2 linked regions of the Mus musculus genome follow. The protein of the gene in region 1 interacts with the protein of each later gene in a pairwise test. Links are inferred from orthologs where the notes say so. Each region holds a gene or a part of one and is shown in the gene's direction. Other genes may lie near its edges. The genes, in order: Sar1a and Slc38a7.

Region 1 (3,811 bases):
CACCATGTGGTTACTGGGAATTGAAGTAAGGACCTCTAGAAGAGCAGTCAGTGCTCTTAACCACTGAGCCATCTCTCCAGTCCTGTTTTTTTTTTGTTTGTTTGTTTGTATTTTTAAAGATTTATTTATTTATTCTATGTAAGTACACTGTAGCTGTCTTCAAACACACCAGAAGAGGGCGTCAGATCTCATTACGGATGGTTGTGAGCCACCATGTGGTTGTTGGGATTTGAACTCAGGACCTTCGGAAGAGCAGTCGGGTGTTCTTACCTGCTGAGCCGTCTCACCAGCCCCTGGTTTGGTTTTTTAAAGATGTTCTTATTTTATTTTATTTTATTTTATTTTATTTTATGTGTAGAAGTGTTTTGACTGACTCTATGGGGTGCTGTGTGCTTGCCTAGTGCCTGAAGAGGCCAGAGGACAGCGTATTTCCTGGAAATGGGGCTAACAGATAATAAACTGTTGTGAACCATCATGTGGGTACTGGAATAGATCTGGAGTAAGAGCGGCCAGTGCTCTTAACCAACCACTGGGCTATCTCCAGCCCAGTGAGATTTAGCTTCTCAGTGCCTGAGGACGTTCAGCTTGCAGTTGAGTAACTGAGTTTTATACTTCTTGTGGTGCACCAGTACCTGCATGGCCCAGATGCTCAGCGCTCCTCAGCTGCCCAGTGCCCCAGCCTTGTTGGTAGGACTGCTGTTCCCTCATTGTGGTTGCTCTTTCTGTAGCCTTGGCATAGGGAAACTCTGCAAGAGTTGAGAGGTTTTATACTTTTTTAAAGCAGATTTATTTATTCATGTATTTTATGAATGTGGGAGTTTTGTCTGCCTGTACCAGAAGAGGGCATCAGATCCTATGGGACTTCAGTTATAGATGGTTGTGAGCCTCCATGTGGTTGCTGGGAATTGAACTCAGAACCTGAAAGAACAGCCAGTTCTCTCTCTCTCTTTTTAAAAAAGATTTTATTTATTTTATGTATATGAGTACATTGTAGCTTCATCAGACACAGCAGAAGAGGGCATCGGATCCCATTAAAGATAGTTGTGTACCACCATGAGATAGCTGGGGAATTGAACTCAGGACCTCTGGAAGCAGTCATTGCTCTTAACCACTGAGCCATCTCTCCAGACAGTACTCTTGACTACCAAGCAGTCTCTCCAATCCTGATTTTTTATGTTTTTGAATCAGTCTCCTATGGAGTCATGTGACAGACTGCATAGTCTGCTAGCACTCTTCCGGTTTTTATTCACTTTGGGTTTCCTCCTTTGTATAGTGTTGCCTTATAATGCCTATTCCTTCGCCCTTCAATGTTTATGCGTATGAGTAGTTGCATGCATGTCTGTGTGTGCCCCACATGCATGCCAGTGCTCGTGGAGGCCAGAAGGTGTAGTATCCCACGGAAGTGGAGTTACTGAACTGCCATGTGGGTGCTGAGTGAGAACTGAGCCTCAGTCCTTTACAAGAGCAAGTGCTCTTAATCACTTAGCCATCTCTCCAGCGCTGTTCTCTCTCATGTGTGAGTTTCTTTTATTCTTGCAGTTTGAAACCCTCTCAAGTTTTTGTTTTTTAATGTGTGTTTTAAATGTTTAGGTCTCATTTTGTGTGGGGCTAACTTCTTTCTTTTTAAATAATTTATTTAATTTTATTTTATGAGCATTGCTGTGAGGGTGTCAGGTCCCTTGGAACTGAAGTTACAGACAGTTGTGAGCTGCCGTGTATGTGCTTGGAATTGAATCCAGCCCTTCGGAAGAGCAGCCAGTGCTCCTAACCACTGAGCCATCTCTCCAGCTCTGCTCTCCTTTCTTTTTTTATGCATTGGTGTTTTGTCTGCAAGTATGTCTCTGTGAGGGTGTCAGGTCCCACGCAATTACAGATAGATAGGAGCTGCCATGTGGGTGCTAGGAATTGAACCAGGGTCCTCTGGAGGAGCAGCCGGTGCTCTTCTCCCCAATGCTGTCTCCCTGTCCCCTATTTTATACTCTAGATTAATTTTTTTTCCTTTTTTTTTTTCTTTTTTTTGAGACAGGGTCTTGGTATGTAGCCCAGCCTGGTCTTCTTAGTCTCCTAAATGCTGGGGTTACAAGAGCGTACCACATGCCCAGCCAGTGTTAGCTCTGATACTTGGTCTTCTGCTTAGTTCTAAATGGAGGTATTCCTGAGGGTCTCTGCTTCCTCCATGGTAATGGCTCCAGGTGGATCTCTCATCTACACCTGCTGAGCTCCAGCCTCAAAAGAGGGGACAGTGCTGCCTACCAGATGGTCCTTCCCAGAAGGAAGCTGTCTGGATTGTTCCTTTCCACCATCCTGGACATGCTCTGGAAACCTGTAAACACTTACAGGGTAAAAATGCTCGCTCCCCCTTGCTCTCCTGTCTGTGAGACTCAGACGCCCAGTCCTGAAATCTGCAGCAGCTCTGTCTCCTCGTGTCTGCTTTACTGTCTGACTTCAGCTCTGCACAGAACCTATCTTGCACAGTCCCTTCAGTTGAGTTTAGCAGCTCATGTCTTAGGTGAGCACTGCACAGAGCACTGGTTTTCAAATCACTGTTCTGAAAGTGAAGATAGCTGACCTTGGGTTCACAGTCTTTAGGAGCTAGTGGAGCTTACAGTTTTCAGACTGGCACCATGACGTGGGTGTCAGTTGCTGTCACATTTGCTCTGTTGCTACACATCTGTATAAATGTCTTAATCCAGTCAGGCGGCGCTGTATGTGGCTTTCGTCTCACTTGGTTGCACTGCCACTGTGGTGGTCTTTCCTTCCACTCACCGAGTTTTGCCCTTCCTGTGGAGTGCAGTTTCAGGTCCACCTAAGGTTTTGTTCAAGTGTGGGTTGTCCTGCTTCCCCGAACAGGCTGTTGTGTACTTTCTGTCCAGTTCCTTGTGACATAAGTCATCTGCTGTGTTCTATTTATACCCAGGTTTGTTAACGCGCCCAGGGCCTTTCAGTCTGTGCTCTCTCAGACCTAATGTGAAGATGAAGCAGCCCGTTGTCAGGTGCAGTGCCGAGGGTGCCTTAGGAAGTGATGGGCTTTCACTTAGTAAGTGCTCACTTGGCTCTGTTATTTTAATCCTGTCTCTAGGCTTTAATGACTGATGAAACAATATCCAACGTGCCAATTCTTATCTTGGGAAACAAAATTGACAGGACAGATGCAATCAGTGAAGAAAAACTCCGTGAAATATTTGGGCTGTACGGGCAGACCACAGGAAAGGTAAGCAGAGAGCCCTCGGGGGCAGGAGGCGGGCAGGAGGCGGGGACCACGTGACTGAACCATGCCTACATTTTCTCTTTCTTTTTTTTGTGTTTTAAGACAGGGTCCCTTGAGTGGAAATGTTTTATCAGGGGCATTTTCCTTAGTTCTTTCCTTCCTCTTTCCTCTCTTCCCTTCTTCCCTCCTTCCCAGTGATACAAAAGGCCTTGAGCTTAGGCCTTTGTATGTTCTAAGTAAGTGCTCTCTCAGCCATACTCCTACCCTCTTTATCTCTTTTCCAGTACCTAATAAATGAAGAAATGATAGGATGCTAGAAAAGGCAGTCTTTTAATATTTTATTTTTTATTTTATGTATGGGTGTTTTGCTTGCGTATGACTGTACCATGAATAATGTGGTGTCCATGGATGTCAGAGGGTGGTACTGCATACCCTGGAACTGGTGTTTGACAGATGCTTGTTAGCCACCATTTGATGTTAATATTTACTTACTTTTGGATCAAGAAAAAAAATACTACTATTTTGAGACAAGGCCTATGTAGAGCAGGCTGGCTTCGAACCAGAGATCTGCTGGTCTCTTCCTCCCTGGTGCTGGGATTGAAG
Region 2 (3,811 bases), on another chromosome or scaffold:
TTATCAGAAGGTGTTCCCATTGTAGGGTTGCTGCAGGGACACATGGAACTGGCCCCAGCCCTGGTGGGATGACAGTCTTGGAGAAACAGTTATGTATAAGTAATAATGAAAACATGGAATTTTAGGTGGGGGCAGGTGTCATCATGACACTGAAACCAGGAAGTAGGGAACGGGACTGAATAGGGGCGGCATTCCCAGAAGGCTTCTCTCTGAGTATGGGGTGCCTGAGGAGGCCCACGAGGGATAAGACAGATGGTAAAGGGCTGGGTGGGGAGGAGCATTCCAAGGAGAGACTGACTGTAAGTGCAGGGCTTCTGAGCAGATGTGGGAGGAGGTCTGTAGCTGGGGTGTAAGAAACTGGTGCTTATGAGGCTGGGCAGCCAAGGGGAAGACAGTAGATGCTGCCAGGAGTCTGGGAGGATACATTTCTTTTTCTTCCTTTTTTTTTTAATGATTTATTGATTTATTTATTTCATGTATATAAGTACACCCTGGCTGTTTTCAGACACACCAGAAGAGGGCATCAGATGCCATTACAGATAGTTGTGAGCCACCATGTGGTTGCTGGGAATTGAACTCAGGACCTCTGGAAGAGCAGTCAGTGCTTTTAACCGCTGAGCCATCTCCCCAGCCCAAGAGGATGCATTTCTTGGATGGGAAATGACCAGGCAAAGAAACCTCTGGCTGCTGCGTGGATTTGGGCAAGAGGTCAGAGATGGACCGGGAGTTCCCACCCTCCTGTGGTATGGGACGAGGACAGGAGCTACCCGGAGAGTGCTGTGTCAGCATCTGAAGCACCAGCAAGAAGCACAAGAGTCCCTTCTGTCAGGGGTCCCATGTTCTGACCGGGGTGATGGGCAATTTAGAGAGAGGTGATTGGGGACTAGAACAGGGTGGTAAGCAGGTATCTGGGGTGGGGCTGACTGCATGGGCAAGTCCACATTCTCTGAGGAGGGGACAACTGAACTGAGACCCGAGGCAGCAACGGGGCTGTTTGAGCAGATGGAATGGTTAGTATAGAAGTTAGAAGGCATGTGCAGAGAAATGTGGGGGCTGGTGGGCCCACCATCAAAGGACATCTACGAAGGCAGACTTTTCTTTCTGAGGCCCAGGCCTCATCTCCCAGGCTGCTACAGCATTCTTTCTGAATGACATTGCTCCTAGCAGGAGTAGGCTGCGGTCCACCACTTACCCTCCTGCGATTGCCCGCCCTCACCCCGTCCCTGGTCTTTGCCTACAGGCATCTGTGGCTTCCTAACCTTTGGAGCTGCTGTGGACCCCGACGTGCTCCGGTCCTACCCCTCAGAGGACGTGGCTGTGGCCGTTGCCCGAGCCTTCATCATCCTGAGTGTGCTCACCTCCTATCCAATCTTGCACTTCTGTGGGCGGTGAGCCCCTTCCCCACCCTCTCCAGAGCCCCCTGGGAGCCAGCACGATACATGGCCTTGTATGGAACCTGTTTTGTAGCAGGGAAAACTGAAGCCCACAGAAAAGAATGTGTCCAGGATGCCCTTCCCCCATACTCGTGCCAGATCTGTTGTTTCCAGAACATTCTGTAAGCCCTGTGAGGGTCTCCAGTCCAGATCCTTTAATGAGCTTTTATGTGAACCCAGCCAGCCCTTTGAATACTCCAAACGATTCCTTTTATAAAGGGCATAGTGGTTGGTATCCATATTCACTTGAAGAGGCCAAGCCTTTCATAAACTTACCTGCAGCCCATAGCCACCAAGGACAGTGCTGGTCACACATGAGGACCCAGGCTCAGGGACCACACTCTGCCCATTGAGGAGCTCCTCCCCGTGCACTGCACAAAGCACCCTGAGCCCCTCCTCATGTGAGCAGGGCTGTGGTGGAAGGCCTGTGGCTGCGCTACAAGGGGATGCCCGTGGAGGAGGATGTGGGCCGGGAGCGCCGGCGCCGGGTCCTGCAGACGCTGGTGTGGTTCCTGCTGACCTTGCTACTGGCGCTCTTTATCCCTGACATTGGCAAGGTCATCTCGGTCATCGGAGGCCTGGCAGCCTGCTTCATCTTCATCTTCCCAGGTACACACCCCGGGTGCCGCCACCACCCCCACCCCCACCACCACACAGCAGGATCTACATAGCTCAGCCACGGACTCAAAACCTGCCAGTAAGATGAGCAGTAGTCTCTGTTGCTCACTGACATGGGCTCAGCTACAGTGCTGCCATCTCAGCGCTGACTCCTAGAGAGAAGGTGTGATCTCTGTTTTACTGATGAGATGTGAGGTCAGAGCAGCGGGCCTCAACCCTGGAGTTGAATGGCCGTTTCATAGGGGTCACCTATCAGATATCCTGCATCAGGTCAGATATTTACATTGTGATTCATAACAGTAGCAAAACTACAGTTATGAAGGAACAATGAAGATTTTTTTATTGGCGGTCACCACAATGTAAGGATCTGTATTTTAAAGGGTCACGGCATTAGGAAGGTTGAGAGCCACTGAGCTAGAGAATTTAGGCCAGCGGCTAAGAAGCTCAACTATGGACAATCCATTTGAAGCCCTATAGGCCCAGGTCCAGGGTCTCTATTTGAACCCTTCATTCAAGTGTGTACACTGTTGACTCTCAGGATCTGACTACCTTATTCCAGTCCAGAGGGAAGGAAGCCTGGCCGTGGCACCTTAAGGTTGGAGTCAAGAGACCCAAGCCGACGTAGGTCAGCTGCAGATCCCCAGAAACCTGCCCTGTCTGCGTGGCTATGAGTTCTGCTGGTCCCAGTTTGTTTCTGTATCGGGGCCTCCTCAAAGCCCATCCCACTGGACATGGAGCAAGGGAGCCATGCCTGCTCTGGAGTAGGCAAGATGGCATGAGCCATTCCTGATTCCCTATTCATTGTGCCCCTTAGCTCTGAGTCCTGAATATATCCCAAGCGGTGCTTGTTAGCCGCTGGCCTATCATGGGAGAGCAGAGGGCAGGTGTCTAGCTGGGCGTAGCTTGAGGCTGGGGACCTGGATTTCAGACTCACCGGTAAACAGTCCTTTCTCCATCACCACCACCGCCTCTTGGCTGGGGAGGCTGGGCTGTGGGAGGGAATCCCTGCCTCTTCCATACTCAGGATTCCGTCTTTCTTTCTAGGGCTGTGCCTCATTCAAGCCAAACTATCAGAGATGGAGGAGGTCAAACCTGCCAGGTAAAGCAGGGCCAGAGAGCCCAACAGCCTTTCAGGGAGGTAAAGAGGGGCCTTAACATAGAGACCTGAACATTTGAAATTTCGGGGATTCCTGGGAACTGGCACACGTTGTTGCCTCCACACTCAGAGGCTAAGGTGAGGTTGCTAGGGGTTTGGAGTCCCTGATGCTGTGCCAGTGACTTTTTGTAAGAAACAGCTTAAAAGGAAAAGAGTCCTCAACTCATGGTTTGAGGACACAGCTGGTCCCAGTGGCAGGAGTGTGTGAGGAGTTTGGACATGTGTCCTTGGGTAGGAAGCAAAGTAGTGACAGGGACTCTCAGCCTACCTTCTCCATCATTTCTTCTTAGTCAGTCTGGGACCTCAGCCCATGGAATTGTTTGGGCCCTATTTAAGGTGGGGCTCCCCTCCTCTATTAAACCTCTCTGGAAATGATCTTACAGACCCACCCTTGGCAATTCCAAATCCAATCAAATTGACAATGGCAGTGAGCCATCGCATTACATAGTGAGAACCAAGCCAGCCAGAGATACACAGCAAGACACATACACACACACACACGATCTCAAAAAGAGAGGGAGGGGGCTGGTGAGATGGCTCAGCCGATAAGGGCACTGACTGCTCTTCTGAAGGTCCTCAGTTCAAATCCCAGCAACCATATGGT

Evidence for each region.
Region 2: the proteins of Sar1a (region 1) and Slc38a7 interact in binary tests that used the Homo sapiens proteins (3 or more experiments, as listed by UniProt). The link is inferred for Mus musculus from reciprocal best matches to the Homo sapiens genes SAR1A and SLC38A7.

The regions. Positions count from the first base shown.
Region 1 is NC_000076.6:61,686,695-61,690,505, forward strand, and holds part of Sar1a (GTP-binding protein SAR1a), read left to right. Parts: intron 1-3,079; coding exon 3,080-3,211; intron 3,212-3,811. UniProt on the Homo sapiens protein: Small GTPase that cycles between an active GTP-bound and an inactive GDP-bound state and mainly functions in vesicle-mediated endoplasmic reticulum (ER) to Golgi transport.
Region 2 is NC_000074.6:95,839,753-95,843,563, reverse strand, and holds part of Slc38a7 (putative sodium-coupled neutral amino acid transporter 7), read left to right. Parts: intron 1-1,240; coding exon 1,241-1,388; intron 1,389-1,715; coding exon of another isoform or gene 1,716-1,722; exon of another isoform or gene 1,723-1,836; intron 1,837-1,842; coding exon 1,843-2,042; intron 2,043-3,095; coding exon 3,096-3,150; intron 3,151-3,811. UniProt on the Homo sapiens protein: Symporter that selectively cotransports sodium ions and amino acids, such as L-glutamine and L-asparagine from the lysosome into the cytoplasm and may participates in mTORC1 activation. The transport activity requires an acidic lysosomal lumen.